Linked DNA regions of Caenorhabditis elegans. The protein of the gene in region 2 purifies or fractionates together with the protein of the main gene of each other region. This does not show direct contact. Each region holds a gene or a part of one and is shown on either strand. Other genes may lie near its edges.

Evidence for each region. Proteins that work in one complex are often made in the same cells at the same time.
Region 1: the proteins of dhs-13 (region 2) and gstk-2 fractionate together in Caenorhabditis elegans (co-fractionation; one large-scale study listed by BioGRID). This does not show direct contact.

Annotation. Positions count from the first base shown.
Region 1 is NC_003282.8:7,238,148-7,244,075, reverse strand, and holds gstk-2 (Glutathione s-transferase kappa 2), read left to right. Parts: upstream 1-1,805; 5' UTR 1,806-1,820; coding exon 1,821-1,971; intron 1,972-2,570; coding exon 2,571-2,950; intron 2,951-3,419; coding exon 3,420-3,566; 3' UTR 3,567-3,631; downstream 3,632-5,928. Other genes in the region: elo-3 (Putative fatty acid elongase 3), read right to left, coding at 4,180-4,293, 4,701-5,378. UniProt on the Caenorhabditis elegans protein: Has roles in respiratory and lipid metabolism.
Region 2 is NC_003283.11:1,764,381-1,775,604, forward strand, and holds dhs-13 (DeHydrogenases, Short chain), read right to left. Parts: upstream 7,355-11,224; 5' UTR 7,348-7,354; coding exon 7,285-7,347; intron 6,156-7,284; coding exon 6,072-6,155; intron 4,878-6,071; coding exon 4,451-4,877; intron 1,657-4,450; coding exon 1,457-1,656; 3' UTR 931-1,456; downstream 1-930. Other genes in the region: clec-205 (C-type lectin domain-containing protein), read left to right, coding at 48-111, 477-600, 647-891; F36H9.7 (UPAR/Ly6 domain-containing protein), read right to left, coding at 9,541-9,664, 9,729-9,811, 10,365-10,538.

The DNA.
Region 1 (5,928 bases), on a different chromosome or scaffold from region 2:
TTTCAGTTTTGAAGGTTGAGTTGGTAGGCACTTTTTTCAACTTTTTTTCCTTGGCTTCAAAAAATATACTTATTACGCTCTTATTTTAAAGGTGTATATATCACGGAAAGAGAAACAGTCACGAGCATTTTATTTATTTATTTATTTACTTCAATACGAGCATTCAACTAGATTCTTTCAATTTGTTCTATTTCTTTACACTTTTATAACAAAAGGCATGTAAAAAATTTAAATTTGAATCACCGCGATGACAAATTCCTTTTTTTTACTTTTTTTTACTTAATTTTGCTTATTTATTTTTGCTTATTTTTGGACTTCTCAATTGTTGATTCAAATTTCATAGCCAATTTTTTTAAATTGAATTTCCTTGTTGGGCCAGTAAGATCAACTTAATGCAAAACCCAAATAAATGATACTAAAAATATTTATTTCTTCAAACTTTGAAACAATTTGCACTCTTTATGAACCAAAAGTCAAGAATGTGGCAAACATTTGCGAGTGGAAGGCAGAGAATTCGATAAGAAGAAAACAAAAATGAGTTCTAGATCTGAACTGTTAGTTTTCACATCATTATTGTTTTTTAAACTTTTCAGATATAGTTTAATTGGAAAACTTATCATAAAATGTAAAAGTTTTCCAATTAAATTTAAAAACAATATATTCCAGTTGTTTTTTCCAAAAGCCGGAACATTTTCGGAACAAATTATTCCAATCGGATTATTTTCTATTTCATTTTCTTTTTTTTTTCTCCGAAACGTGAACTTTATGAAATCCCAATTCCACAACCCAAAGTACATATTTAACCTCCAACAAACAACACAATTCTGTTCCCTCTTTTTCACCCGTTTGCACTTTATTTCTTTTCACTCACCTCGAGTCACGTGATCTCCTTCTAAGAACTGAATTTCAAAAACACAAAATGTTGTTTTCATCCGTTTCTATTTCAGCCCTTTATGTTTTTATTGAACGGTGAAAAGATCGGATCATTTTTACACTGGCTACAATTTTATTTTTTCTCATTTGTTCGTGTATGTCATATACCTGCCTGCCTGCGTGCCTTCTTAGCCCCTCGATTCTACATTCTAACATAAAATGAGCTGGGTGGTGTACACACATGATAAATTTACGTTTATCTCCCTTTATCATTTAAATTGTTTTGTTAAAAGTTCAATTAAGAAATGGCAGGTATTTTTGTGCGTATTTGGAATAGTCATAAAGCATTTAACCAAACTTCTTTCCTGAAAATATTGTTCATTGTATATTTTCATATCTTTTATCCAAAACAACTAAATGCTCAAAAATCGCACATCTGGTTATCACGTGCGGTTAGGAAAAATAGAAATCAAATATTTAGAGTACCCAAGTTTTTTTCCAAACAAAATCTATTTTTATCGTGGTCATTTGCAAACAATTCTACACTTTGTTCACTAGACTTGAGACCAACTGTTTTTTTTCTGTTTTTTGTCCGCTGATGCTCCAATTGCTCTACCACGTGTCTGTGCTCCTATCAACTCATTGGTACCTCCCTTGATGTTTACACAAATATCTTTTCTTTCTTCTCAACTCTATCATTATTGTCTGGCCAACGTGATTCGGCTGTTTTTTTTTTTCGTGCCTAATTATTTTAAAAAAAACTTTTCTACAAAATAAGAATTTTCAGAAATCTTAAAAGCGTCCCGAAGTAGTTCAAGTTGTTTTAGTACTGGAGCTCATTAAGGTTTAGAAAAATCATAAGCTTCTGTTTTTTTTTCGCTTTTTTGTCGAAAAATTTTAAAATAATTGCTGAATTTTCATGAATTTTGCAGACTTCAAGTTTCAAAATGCCGAACCGAAAAGTGGTCAAATTCTTCTTCGATGTCATTTCTCCGTACAGTTACTTTGGATTCGAAGGAATCACTCGTCATCGTTCCGTTTGGAAGACTCCAATTCAGATGAAACCATTCTTTTTTGCTGGTGTTGTCAGACATACTGGTGAGTTTTTGTATTTTTGTCTTGAAATTTCTCTAATATCCGTAAAAAAATGGAATTAGCTTTTTTAAAGTAAGGTTTTTAAACCATGACCCTCTAACAATTCCGTTTGAAATGTCAAAATAAAAGCTTTCAATTTACTTCTGGAAAAGGACATGCAAAACCTTAAGAAGCCTGTATGTTATTATTTTCTAAAAAATGCACCTCTATCTATTTATATCATAAGGTCGGCTACTTCTACTTCTTAAAATCTGCTTTAATCTGACGAAGGGCACTAGAATAGATAAATACACTTAAATAGTTCAACAATAGTTCAACATTATAATAGTTGAACATGACATATATTAACATAATAAGACAATCCAAAAATTTCAGGATTTTTCAAAATGATCAGTGAACGTTTTGATAAGTTGCCAAATGTCCCTAAAAGGACTATTTGAAAGCAATTTCGAGACATTTGGAAAAGTGATATTTGGTAATTTTATAAGTATAGGAGCATTGATAAATAACATAATTGTTTTGAAAATTTTTTTCGAATCGTGCTAATCATCAGAAAGTTGTTTGATATGTACCTTCTAAATCATATAACTGCAAGTTTTCAGAAAACCCCGGTCTCCCACTCCGTATTCCTATCAAAGAAAAGTACATGCACAAAGATTTGCTCTTCTCTGCCCAATATTGGGGAATTCCGTTCCGTCTTCCCAAGGACTACACAAATATGATGTTGAACACAAGTTCAATCGTTCCACAACGTATTCTTGTCGCTTCACAACTCCGTGATAATGTTTTGATGGAAGACGTTGCTCGTGGACTCTGGCATCGATTTTATGCATACGGAAAACCAATTTTCACAAAAAGTCAAGTTGCCGAAGTTTTGAGAGATTTGCATGTAAAAGATGTCGATGAGTTGGTGATGATGAGTGATTCGGCAGAAGTTAAGAACATTTTAAGAGAAAACACAGATGAAGCCATCGGGAATGGAGTAGGTCATTTATTATAGGAACCCAGAAAAACACGGAATCGACGAGAAAACACGCTCCACAACCAATTTAAAACGGTCCGCCCCCTAACGATGGGTCTCGTTAGGTATTTTCCGTTAAACTTGAACGTTTTTGATTAGGCTCGACAATTTTCTAGAATTAGTCTTTCTGTTATATTTTTCGAAGTGTTTAATGATTTCAACATCGAAATGATGTCTAAGAAAATTATGTGAATTTAGGGCGTTTTCACTTATCATAATAATTTTATTTCATCTATTTCAACCGAAAAAACATCAAAAACTACGAAAAATATAACAAAATAGACGACGAACGCAAAATTCCTAACGAGACCCATGGTTTAGGGGCGGAGCATTTTCAGTTGGCCCCGGAGCGCGCTTGCGCGTCGTTTTAAAATGTTTTTTTGCTGTTTTATAATATTCTCAATTGGGAATTAAAATTAATTTTTTTCAGTGTTTCGGAGCTCCGTGGATGCATATCACTGATGGTCACGGAAAAGTACTTCAAACAGTTTTCGGATCGGATCGCCTTCCACAGGTGGCCGATTTTCTTGCCGAGCCATTCAAGGGTCCAATGAGAGAGAAGAAGCCGAACGCATAAATTGTCAGATTAGCATTCTAAAAAGTGTCTAGAATTTTATCTGAGAAAGAATAACGATTAAAATTAATTCTTTCTTTTGTGTTGGCAAGAGAAATACAGAAAACGATGGAAAAAATGTGGAAACAAAAAGACTACTAATCTATTTCACACGAGTTTCAATTTGTTGCGGCAATTACAGAAAAAAAACGGAGCAAAAAAGAAAGAGCATAAGCTAACGAAAACTTGGGGTTGGTTGGGGGGACGAAGGGTGAGAGATCTGAGTATGTGTTAGTTTTGCGTGGCCTCTGATGATTAGCCGAATATAAATAAGGGAAAGCGTAAAGGTTTGATAAAAAGTAAAAGAGAAATTTCAAGAAACGAAAAATAATATTACCGGTACAGAGAGTGTAGATAGTTAGAGAGTGACAGACATCCGGGACCCAATGGGGCGGGGCGCGCGGAAGAGACGATTTGTGTCGATTTACGAAATTTTCCTCGTTGTCATTATTTCGTAAATCGACACAAATCGTCTCTTCCGCGCGCCCCGCCCCATTAGGTCCCGGATGTCTGTCACTCTCTAACTATCTACACTCTCTGTACCGGTAATAGAGAACAAATAACAATCTGATATTTTCTAATCAGCTTTTTGAACTTTTCTTCGTGCGGCGGCGGACCTCGTTGTGATGGATGGCTCAGCGATGTTAGCATTGATATCTTCTTTTGGCTCCAGAATTTCGAAATCAACAGGCTGAAAAACGAATTATTTTTTTCCAAAGATTTTTTAAAAATATGCTCATAAGTCAGAATTTTCCAAGTTTCCCAGCAAGGGTAACGGGTTTTCCATTTTTTACTGAAATCTAACAATCGAAATGTTTTTTCGATTTTTCTGATATTTCGAAAAAATTCGATTTTTTCCAAATAGAAAAGTTAAAATTGTGGTCATTTTTCTTCTTGGAAGAATAAGTTCATATGTTTTCTTATGTTTTTTTCCATCAACATTAACAAAATTTGATGAAAATTGAATTTTATAATTATTTTCTGAACATTGCCGATTTTTCGATTTTCTTGAAACCTTTTTTCTCAGGTAAATTAAAACGAGATCGGGGAAATTTTTTGAATTATTTTCATAATTTACTGTACCTAAAAGATGCTCACCTCTTCCTTTTCCTTCTTATCTTTCTTAACTTCGGTATAACGGTTGTTTTTCTTAACATATGCATGGTAGAAGAAGTTGGCGAAAAGAAGGAAATATGTGAAATAAACTCCAAAGCATAATCCCAAATTGTCCCATGTCTGTTGGCAGTATTCACCCGATGACTTGATACGGTAGACAGTGACTCCGATGATTACTCCCATAACCATTTGAGCAAGTTGGAGAGTAGTAACAACCATTGCCATTTGTTTTGGAAGACGGAATTTCAGAGAACGAAGAGCATAGTAGGAATACATAAGAGCATGAACTCCATAATTCATCCAAATGAACCACCGTCCTGATGCAGTGTGATCCTTGTACGCGTGCCATGTGTAGATCATAACAGTTACATGATGATACCAGTGAAGGAAGATGAGTGGACGTTTACGAAGAACGATGAAGATTGTGTCGATGAGCTCGAAAAGTTTGCTCATTGCGAATTGTTCAGTCCAGAAACCAGTGACTCCTTGAGCATAAGATGAATGACAAATTGAATATTTGAATGAGTTTCCTTCTGCTGACCAACTCCATACAAATTCAGGTGTCATTCGGAGGAACCCGAGAATTGAGAAAATGGCTAAAAATGAATTCCAGACGAAGAGTGGTGTGTCCAGTTGGAAGGGCTTGTACTTTTCCATAATCTGAAACATTTGAGAACTATTAAGTGATTTTCGGTTTCGATTCTTAATTGCATTCTGAAGGCTAGACTCAAAAGTAATAACTCGTGATTTTTTGTAGATGAGAACCACCTGCTAAGCAATTACTTTAATGTCGATATATTTTCGGTTATGCTTTAAAATATGTAACGCACCTAGGAGGCTTCTGAAACGGAATTCACAGTTTTTGGGAGTAGAGGTTGTGTTTTCTATAGTAAAAACTGGTTAGAAACTACCGAATTCATGATGAGACTTCTCAAAAAAAATTCTAAAAATTTTTATGACAAAAATTCCGAAAAAGTCCAAAATTTGAAATTTTGCCAGCTTTTTCTTGTCGCTGCAGCTGGGAAACAGTTTTTTATTGATGTAATAACTTTTATTGAATATTTTGGTAATTATTCTCGCGTTAACTAGTTTCTTTTAGCACATTTCAGATTTTAGAAAAATGCGCCTCTTTTTCGGAAATTGACACGCCATAAAAATTCTTTTTTTTTTTTGAGAAGTGTCAATACTCTCTCTTTAACCACTATTGTAG
Region 2 (11,224 bases):
ATTTTTTCCTCAAAATTCAAATGTTAAAAATTTAACTTTTCTTGCAGATGCTTCTACGACACGACTAATTTCACATATTTCAGTGGTCTGGCCAATACGAAATGCTATCGGGTTTGTGAAACACAAAATTCTGAGAATGCGTATTGTACAAAACATTTTACGTGCAAAATATGTTGCACAATACGCATTCTTCTAATATTGTTTTCCTGTAATACTACACAAGTACAAATAATCTCAATACAAAGTTTTCTGAAGCTCGTAATTATACGTGTATTCAGCTCGACGAATTGGTGTATTTTGTGCAAACATCACATTTGAAACATCACATTTTTTTCCCGCAGCGAAAACTACAGCAATTCTTTAAATGATTACTGTATCGGTAAAAGAATTACTGTAGTTTTCGCTACGAGATATTTTGCGCGTCAATTATGTTGTGAAGTACGCATTGTGGTCCCGTAGTAGTTCCAATATTCCAGGTCTCCTCAGACAAAAAACAATTCGCTGAAGCTGAAAATCTCTGCCTATCCGATCATCCATTATTCCTGCATACTCCTAAACTGACATCAATCGAGACAAAGGAAGAGGAGGAGAAAGTGCGGAGTGAGTCGGTGTGCCAACGCGCTCTATCGTCAATTCCCATTTTCAGCCATAGTACCGCCCGTCAGTGACGGGATGTTCTGGTTCGGGCTAAAACGGGACCCGACCAACTCGTCAAACTGGTATTTTATCAACGGAGACACCTATGATTCCAGTTATCAAAACTGGCGATCCGGATATCCACGAGATGCTGATGGTTGTGATTGTGTGGCGCTGGTGATTAATGATAATTCATGGGTGAATACTGACTGCAATAAGCAGCTGTATTCGATATGTGCTTTTCGGTACAACTAGTGATCTACTGCTCTACTGATAAAGCTTTGGAAACAAATTGTATTTTTTTGAGAATTTCATTCAGAAACTCTAAATTGATTAGAAATGAGAGGGAGAAATGAAACGTGGCTAATACATGGAAAATTCGAGGAAAAAAGCATGACAGAATACCAGTCATTTGTGTTCGAACAAAAAAAAAAGAGGAAATATGAATAAAAGAACCCTAAATTGCAAAGAGGTGGACGACAACGCAAAACTCACAGGTTTGGCACATGATGATGATGATGAGGGGGACGTGGTGTCATCAGAGTGGCTCATTCTGGTTTGATCTACGTAGATTTACGAAAAAATGCGGGAGAAGAGATGCAGAGTTGTCAACTTTTCGATAAAAAAATCCCCCGCATTTTTTGTAGATCAAACCGTAATGGGACAGCCTGACAACGTGAGGGGGACGGGATATCAAAAAAATTGAAATGAATCATAATTTAGTGTGTCGGGGAGGGAGTGGAGGGGAAAAATGAGATTCTTCATCAAGAAAAATTAAAAAAAAACGTTTATCGGCACTATTTTCCACCGCCGGAGATCTCTAAATCCGCGCGTGCATGCCTCCGTTGATACCGATCGTCTCTCCAGATATGTAGCTAGCCTCGTCGGAAACCAGGAACGCCACCGCCTCGGCACACTCATCCGGATCACCGAATCGGCGTTGTGCAATTTGTGAGAGCCACTTCTGCTTTTCGGATTCGTCGGAGAAGAGGACTTGCGAGAAGTCGGTTTGAATGATTCCTGTAAAGAAATTTATGTTTTAGTGTGGTTCGAAAAAATCATTGTGATATTATTCAGACGCGAAAATTTTGCGATTTTTGAGTCGAAATCACGGTAGCCCGGTCTCGACACGATCTTTGAAGAGTACTGTAATTTCAAAAAATCCTGTTTTCGCGGGCTTGTCATCGATTTTCACTAGTTTTCTCACGATTCGTTAAAAATTTAAGATTGAAATTTTCTCTTTAATAAATAAATAAATATTTTTTGTAGAAAATTTTTCTGTAATTTTTTGCTAGACCAAAAATAAAAGAATCTCAAGTTTTCAACTAATCGTGAGAAAACTAGACAAATCTATGAAAATTCCGTAGTACACTTTAAAGGCGCACGCCGTTTTGCATTTCACAAAAATATTTCAATATTACGGGAACACAAAATTCTGAGAATACGTACTGTGCAACATATTTTACGCGCAAAATATCTCGCAGCGAAAATTACAGTAACTCTTTAAATAAATACTGTAGCGCTTGTGTCGATTTACGGGCTCGATTTTTGAAATAAATTTATTTTCGAATAGTTACAGCTATATTCCAGTTTCCTTCGTTTCTTTGTATTATTTTCTCTTTATTTTGCTTAAATGTAATATTCCATCGTAAATCGAGCCCGTAAATCGACACAAGCGCTACAGTAGTAGTCATTTAAAGGATTACTGTAGTTTTCGCTACGAGATTATTTGCACGTCAAATATTTTGTGCAATACGCATGCTAATAGTCTTGTATTTCCGTAATATCTACGTCACCCATCAACGACAACACGTGGTGTCAGCCTGTTTCACTTTGATCTACGAAAAATGCGGGAATTTTTCCCAGAAAAATTGCGACGTCAGCACGCGCTCTCTTCTCCCGCATTTTTCGAAGATCAAAGCAAAATGGAACTTTCTGAGTCCACGTGCGTTGGAAAAACAACAGTTTTCACGAAAATTCCGCAAAAATTCGGATAAATATTTATATTTACCTAGATCTCAGGATTTACGCCTTATGATTTCTGGGTCATTAAGTATGTTATTTATCAGATGGTTTTTTGGCAAGTCAACATGTTTCAAGTCACATGGCGTTTTTTCCCAAAGATCGCCAAATTTCAACATTTTGATTTTCGATCGCGCCAAATCTTCCGTTTCAAAGTTGAAAAACAAACGAAAAACATGCGTTTTTTTCAAATTTTTTGAAAATAACCCTCCTCTGGGTACCCGATGCACCGGGATCCCGTGAGTTGGCGTTTGGTTTTTCGAAGTCAATGTGGGAGAGAAGCAGCGAGAGGTAAATATTGAGAAAATATGTCAAATGTTTGCTAAAACTCAGACGTTAGCCTCGTGGCTTCTGTTTTTTTGTTGCTCCTGCTACTGCTCTTTCGCAGAGCAAATAGCTCGCACGAGGGGTAAAAATGGGGTCAATCGATCCGAAAATAAGTAGTGGGCAACGCACTTTTCGGAATGATTTTGGAAAAAAAAAATCGATTTTTCAGGAGCTCCAGCTAGCTTGGGAAATCCCTACACACTATGACAGAAGCAGGCAAAAATCGAAAACCAATTAAAATCTGTTCTTTGTCGAATCGAATCAAGATAACAGAAAGAGAGAAAAGATTAAATGATAAAAGATACAGAATGTGATCAGTCAAGGACATTAAAGTTTGTGTTTTTGCACCCACTGACCCCTCTGGGAATTTGAAGGAATAGCGGCAAATCCGGCAAATTGCCGGTTTGCCGAAAATTTTGATTTTCGGCAAATTTGCAGTAATTTGCCGGAAATTTTTAGAGGGATTTTTTAAAAGACGGAAACGGAAACAACGAAAAACTGTGCCTTTTCGAAATTTTCATAGAATTTCCTCAAAATATATTATTGACATTTGCCGTTTTCCGGCATATGGGCAATTTGCGGATTTGCCGGAAATTTTCAATTCCGGCAATTTGCCGATTTGTAGATTTGCCGGAAAATCATTTGCCGATTAAAATTAAAATTTTGAAATTTCAAAAAAAAAAGGTGCAAAATCACAATTTGCCGAAAATTTCGCCGTTTTTCCGGCAAATTAGCAATTTGCCGGAAAATTTCAATTTCGGCAATTCGCCGATTTGCTGGAAATTTTCAATTCCGAAAGTTTATAATTTCGGCAATTTGCCGGTTTGCCGAAGTTTTCAATTCCGGAAATTTGCCGATTTGCCGGAAATTTTCAATTCCGGCAATTTTTAATTTCCGGCACATTCGGCAATTTGCTGGAAGTTTTCAATACTGGCAATTTGCCGGAAGCTTTCAATTCCGGCAATTTGCTGATTTGCCAATTTGCCGGAATCGTCGTTTTCCAGGATGCGTACAATTTTGCCGATTAAAATTGAAATTCTGGAATTTCCAAAAAAAAAAAGTGCAAATTTGCCGAAAATTAATTTTTTCGGCAGTTGCCATTTTTCAGGCAAATCGGCAGGTAGGCAATTTTCCAATGAGCGGGAAATTTTGATTCCGGCAATTTGCTGATTTGTCGATTTGTCAGAAGCTTTCAATTCCGGCAATTTGCAGGTTTGCCCATTTGCCGAAAATTTAAATTCCGGCAATTTGCCGAGTTTCCGGAAAAAAAATCGTTTGCCGCGCACCCCTCAAACTTTTGTAGATCAACTGCATTTTTGTAAAATTTTTGAAAAAAAAATCAATTTTCCTAGAAAACCTAGGCTACCAAAATTAGCAACTTATTTTTTTGAATTTTTTGATTTTCAATGATTCAAAATTTAATTTTTTCACGAAATATCCAAAAAACAAATATTTTTCCGCTTACCCGGAGCAATACTATTGACTCGAATATTCCGCCTGGCCAAATTCAAAGCCAACGATTTGCTCAATCCCGTGAGCGTCGTCTTCATCACCGAATACGCTCCAATCTCGTTCATCGGTGAGTATCCGGCGACAGACGACACAAAGACGACATTGCCCCGACCAGAAGCCTCCAAGTGCGGCACAGCCTCTTTTGTAAGTTCGAATGCGGATTTTACGTTCAAATCGAGAAGCTTATCCCATTGTGAGTCGGTGACTTTCATCAGATCACCGTAGTGCGGGTTGACGGCAGCGTTCGACACGAGGATGTCGAGTTTCGTGAATCTGTCAAGTGTGAAGTCGATCAGTTTTGTGCGGTCCGACTTGTTGCCGACGTGTGCTGTTGTGCCGTGAGCGTCAATGTTTTCGAGGCGAAGTGCGGCGACGGCTTCCTGGAAAATGAATAATATTATTGAAAATTTAAAAAAAAAACCATATTTATGTTTTCCTGCTTTTGCATAACCAAGGTGTCGAAAATCGAAAACCAAACATCTAATTTTTCCTGTTTTTTTAAATAAAAAACCGTCTCTATTTACCAATTTTTCTATATTTTTAATGATTTTTGATCGAATCACGTGGTGTAAGAAAGTCTTATTTAGCTTTGATCTACAAAAAATGCGGGATATTTATGCCCAAAAAATGTGACGTCAGCACTCTCTTAACCATGCGAAATCAAATGAGATGTCTGCGTCTCTTCTCCCGCATTTTTCGTGGATCAATCTGAAATGGGACTTTCTGACTGCACGTGCCGAATTATTTTTGAATTCCCGCACAATGGAATAATTTAGTTTCGACATTTTTGCATTTTCCGACAATATTATTACGGTGACAAAAAATTTTGACAATATTGATGCGCAAAATATCTCGAAGCGAAAACTACAGTAATTCTTTAAATGGCTACTGTAGCACTTGTGTCGATTTACGGGACTCTATTTTTGAAATTAATTTTTTTTTTTCGAAAAATGAAAATGACAACGACATTCTATTTTCCTTCGTTTTCTTTTCGTATTGTTTCGTCATTTTATACGAAAAAAACGAAGCAAACAGAAATATCGCTGTCACTTTTCGAAAAAAAATTAATTTCAAAAATAGAGTCCCGTAAATCGACACAAGCGCTACAGTAGTAATTAAAAGAGTAACTGTAGTTTTCGCTACGAGATATTTTGCGCGTGAAATATGTTGTGAAATACGCATTCTCAGAATTTTTTAAACCGTAATAATATATATATATATATATATATATATAGGCAATTTTTAATTTTTGCGATTTTTTTAATTTTTTTTTAATTTTTTGAACCCGTACAAATTATGTTCAAGTAAATTTTTTTGCGGAAAAACGACTGAGAATTTGAAAAAAAAACAATAATGTTTCAAACCACAATGATCAGAGAAAAACTAACTAAATCGCCGTAAAATGCCGAAACTTTCAATTTTTTGTTGCAAAATTTTTTAAAAAATCGGTAGAAAAAAAACTGTATCACCTTTAAAGGCGTACTACCCATATTTTTGGGCTAAAATCGTTAAATTTTTATGATTTTTTCAGGGAAAAACTATGTTTTTTTCTAATTATTTCATCCACAACTCACATCGACATTCTCCTTCTTCCGACTGCAGACGACGACAGAGGCGCCGGCAGCGCCAAGTTGTTTGGCGATGGCAAACCCGATTCCCTAAAAAACAATAATACTAGTTGAGGAGGCGATGATGATGACTTTGTTTTTGAGGAGGCGATGGCTAACATGAACACAAGACAATTTAGAAATAGTATCAATTTAAAGGTGGAGTACCTTTAGTGCTTTATCAGACCCAAAATAGTCCAAAATTACCAAATTTAGTAATAAGACGTTCTGAATGAATTTTTCAAAAAAAGTTAAGGCCGCCCAAAGTTTAGGAAAAAGAATGGTATATTTTCCGCTAAAATCTCAAATTTTGGCCACTTTTCAGTGTCGCAGCGATTGGAACTGAATTTTTATTTAATTAATATTATTTGATGCATGTCTACGAAACTTTGCGTATTAAACAACATATTTGACGCGCAGAATATCTTGTAGCGAAAACTACTGTAGCGCTGTGTCGATTTACGGACTCCATTCTCGAAAAAAAACATATTTTTCGAACTTTTACACATCGATATTCAATTTTTCTTCGTTGTTGTTCAATTCCTTTGTTATTTTTGGGATTTTTTTAAAAATATTTTATCCACTAATATATCAATTTAATTAAAAAACGTACAATACTCGCGTTTTTTACACTAATATTGCCGCCCGTAGGAGTTTACTCATCAAAATTACGCGAATATTGGACGTTTTTCAATTAAATTAATTTATTAATGGATAAAACATTAAAAAATAAGCACAAAAATGACCACGGAATTCGAAAAAGCGAAGAAAAATTGAATATCGATGTGTAAAAATTCGAAAAATATGATTTTTTTTTTCAAGAATGGAGTCCGTAAATCGACACAAGCGCTACAGTAGTTTTCGCTACGAGATATTCTGCGCGTCAAATATGTTGTGAAATACGCATTTTCAGAATTTTTTGTTCTCGTAATAATAAGTTGCGTAGGCATGCATCAAAGAATGTTAATTAAATACAAATTAAGTTTCAACCGCTGCAACACTGAAAAGTTGCCAAAATTTGAGATTTTAGCTGAAAATTTACCATTTTTTTAAAATCTTCAACTTTTTTCGAAAAAATTTTCTCGTCTCACTACGAAATTTGGTATTTTGTACCATTTTGGGTCTGATGAAGCAAATTTTCAGATTTTGAATAAGAAAACCACAAAAAAGGGCTAAATACCTTAGTAGAAGCAGTGACGAGAGCAACCCGATCGGTCAAGAATTTCGTTGCTGGTGAAGCCATTGGTACCCTGTAGAAATGAAAAATGCTGATGTTATTCGAATTTTTATGCCGGCACACGTTTTATATTAACACGGAGGAGGAGATGGGCGGTCAGATAAATATTTTTTGTTGCAAAAATACATAATATGGAAAATGAAATATTTTGTGTGTGTGTCAAATGGTCAATCAACTGACATTATTGTCTGCAGCGGGAATTCATGTGAACACGGGAGAGGAGGAGGAGATGATGATAAGATGGGCGGTCTCCGGCGGCGGGACAACTTTTGCAGAGATCACTCGACGCAGAGATGCAGAACAAAGAGAGGAACGATCTAAAAAGAGCTGCAAGGAGATTTTCGAGTTCTTTTTTTTTGTTGCAGATGGAAAACTAAAAAAACACTTTTTTTTTGTGTTTAAATTTTGTTTGAAGGTGGTGTAGCACGCCCTTCTCAAAGCCGAATAATTATTAGAGCGCGCTCTAATAATTATTCGGCTTTGAGGGGAGCGTGTGTAGTCGAAATTGTCTGAAAACACCGAATGTCATCATGAAACTTCTTGAAGACTTCTCAAAAAAAAATGGTTATGTCGGCGCAAAATATGCCCTTAAATTAGTTAAAACTTGAAATTTGACCACGGCTAGAAACTAACTTTTTGGAAATCACCCTCTAATTTTTGGTATGCAAGTTAATTATCTTGAGTTTTCAACTCGATTTAGGTGCATTTAAGGTCGATTGATCATCAAATTTGGTAGAAATTACCATTTTCTGGTGATCCATCGACTTTAAATGTACCTAAATCGAGTTGAAAACTCAAGACAATTAACTTGAATACCCAAAATTAGAGGCGGATTTCAAAAAAGTTAGTTTCTAGCCGCGGTCAAATTTCAAGTTTTAACTAATTTTAGATCACATTTTGCGCCGACATAACCATTTTTGAGAATTTTCAAGAAGTTTCATTAATAAATTCGGTTTTTCCAGACAATTTTGAGTCCAATAAAGTATTAATAAAATGTAAAAGAGAATATCTAGGAACTAAAGAAACTAATAAAAACGTTTTTGTTTTGAGAACTGCAACGTCAAAGGTGGGAAAATTGACAAGGAAAGTATATGGGCTAATGGTGATGGGGGAAGTCTATCTGACGGGGAAGACCGTACGGAGGTCGTCAGACGAACGAATTATCTGTGACGTTTCTGCAAAAAATCGGGCGCATTTAAATGTTTTGGGACTGCACTTTCGAGATGAAATGCTGTTTGCAGAGTTTTTGATGGAAAATAATATTTTTAAAAACATTTTTTCAACTATTTGCCCGAAGAAAACGTTACTACAGAACTATTTGAATGAAAATAATGCCGGATTTATGCAAAAAAATCGTGTGACTCCGTGTAATTTATTTCAATGACATGAAAAATTGGCTGTTTCTACTGATTTCTGCTGATAAGAACACTTTCAAAGTGGAAAATATGGAAATATTGATAAGAAACTAGCAAATTTTAAATTAAACACACATTAAAATCAAATCTATGATCGTTTTTAAAGAAAAATAGGAGAAAAATGGAAAAATTGCGCACAGAAAATAAAATCTGTTTTTCGCGAGTCCGCAAACACCGCGGTAAGTTTCGAAATGCGGACCGGGCATCTGGTTTTACGCGCAAAGTGTATTTAAAGGAATATTGCGAATTAAGCGGCAGAACTTGAAATTTTGGCATTAAAAAGTAAGCATAAAAATTTGTAGGCATTAAAAAACTTATTATCTGAAAAAAGTTTTTCGGAAAATTGCGACTGTCACAATCAAGACTATTTCTCTTACCGTATTAAGGAGTACTGTAATGGGCAATAATTTAGTAAATTTTAAACTTATTTTTCCAATTTTCACATTTTCCCTTCAATATTTTAAGTATTTCTTTGGTTTTTTTTACGTTGTAAGTCTTTAAAAAACTTGTTTTGACATCAAAATTATTGATGGAAAATGGAAAAGTACAATAACCGTTTTACAACTCGCGGATACGGTAGTTGAAAAGTTTCAATCGCTTCAATACCAATATCCTCAGCTCATAGTGATGTTTTGCTCTGCATTTAATATAATTTCTAGAAATTCAAATGTTTATTGTACAAAACTATGCTCAAAACGAGTCGAAATATGAGGTCAACCGTGAAAATTTCCTATACACCAAAAAATTATTATTTGGAGCTCCATGGAGGGCTTCAAAAATAAATTCAAACAATTCTCCAAAACGCGTAGAGGAAGCCAAGCAGTCCTAATCCGAGGCAGGTGCGGAACGGCTGGCCGGGGCTCGAATTACAGAGATCCGTTTTGCACAAACATTGCTTGGCGGCGATGCTGCAACGTGGAATTAATTATAATAATTGGTGTTATTCTCAATAGAGCGCATTTTGAGACTTACCCTCTGATTCCGATATTAATGCATCCATCCGTTAAATCATCGGTTTTCTCAGCGCATCGTTTTTCTACATAATAGGTTCCGTCCTGAAATAATTTTTTCTTGCCGACACGGGGTTCTGGACTTTCTCATTGATTTTTCGCGCTCCATTGACAATCGCCCGCCGGATAACGCGTGGGAAAGCCGTGTACTTTACACGGACAAATACATTCAGTTTTACAACTAAAATCGAGCCGCGACGCGACAAGCAACGCGCCGTAAATCTACCCCAGCTATGGCCGAGCCAAAATGGCCTAGTTTGGCGAACTCTTCCATTTCAATTTATGAGGGAAGCCAGAAATCTGTGGGGTGCTCATATTTTCACAGCGCTCATATTTTACGCGCAAAAATTCGGCCATCGATATTTTTTTCGGTGCCACTCGTCACGTGGTGTCAGAGTATCTCATTTTGGCTTGATCTACGTAGATCTTCGAAAAATGCGGGAGAAGACACGCAGAGTTCTCAACTGATTTCGCATGGTCAAGAACGTGCTGACGTCACATTTCTTTTGGGCAAAAAATTCCCGCATTTTTTGTAGATCAAACCGTAATGGGACAGCCTAGCACCATGTGACTCCTCTAATTTAAGCAAAAAACTCACTGCTTTATGGCCAATAATCGATAAGCATCCAAGATTTTCGGGAGCACACGAGTTATTTCGGATTTCACCGCGACACATTGGCTCCGGAGCCGACAGGAAAACTCCACACGTGAAGCATTCCAGACCGAGCGTCGAAATTGGGAGTATTGTGAACAGGAGCAGCTGTGGGAGCATCTGAAATTGATTTTTGAAAAATTTTAAAACTATACTACGAAAGGAAAGAAGCCGGTAGAAAACTTTAACGGATCGTAGCTCGGCGAAATTTTGAAAATACAAAAAAAAGTTCATTTCAAAAAATTGTCAATTCTCTAAAATTTACACCTCAACCGAAGCGCAAAAAATCAAGATAAAAATTTCAGAAAAATGCAAAATAACTGAAAATATACCAATTCTCTGCCGACTGACATGATTTTGTTTTTATTTTCCATCGGCTTCACTGGCTCGGCACCCCATTGAGCCCACCAACAACAGAAAAAAAACAAGTTGGCTCAATGTGCAAAACAATTGGAACAACAAAGTTGCAAACACAAGTACTTCTCTTTTTTTTTGAATTTCAAATGAGCCTTGCACACAAGTTCAAAGTGGGCGGAGTGATGATGGAAATAGTGTGAACAGATGTGAGACGCAGGCACACCGGAAGTGTGCACTGATCTCATTTGCATAACGGCGGCGGTGGTGGTCCAAATGCTTTTGGGAAAAGCTTATGAAGGAGTCTGAGCGGGTGTGGAGAATGAGGAAATTATTAAAAGTGATCGGTTATAGAGGGAAATTGGCCGGGGCGAAAAAAAACACATATTATTTGAGAAGGAAAGGAACGAAGCCAATTTAGGCGTGTTTATTTTTATTTTCATCAGTTTTCG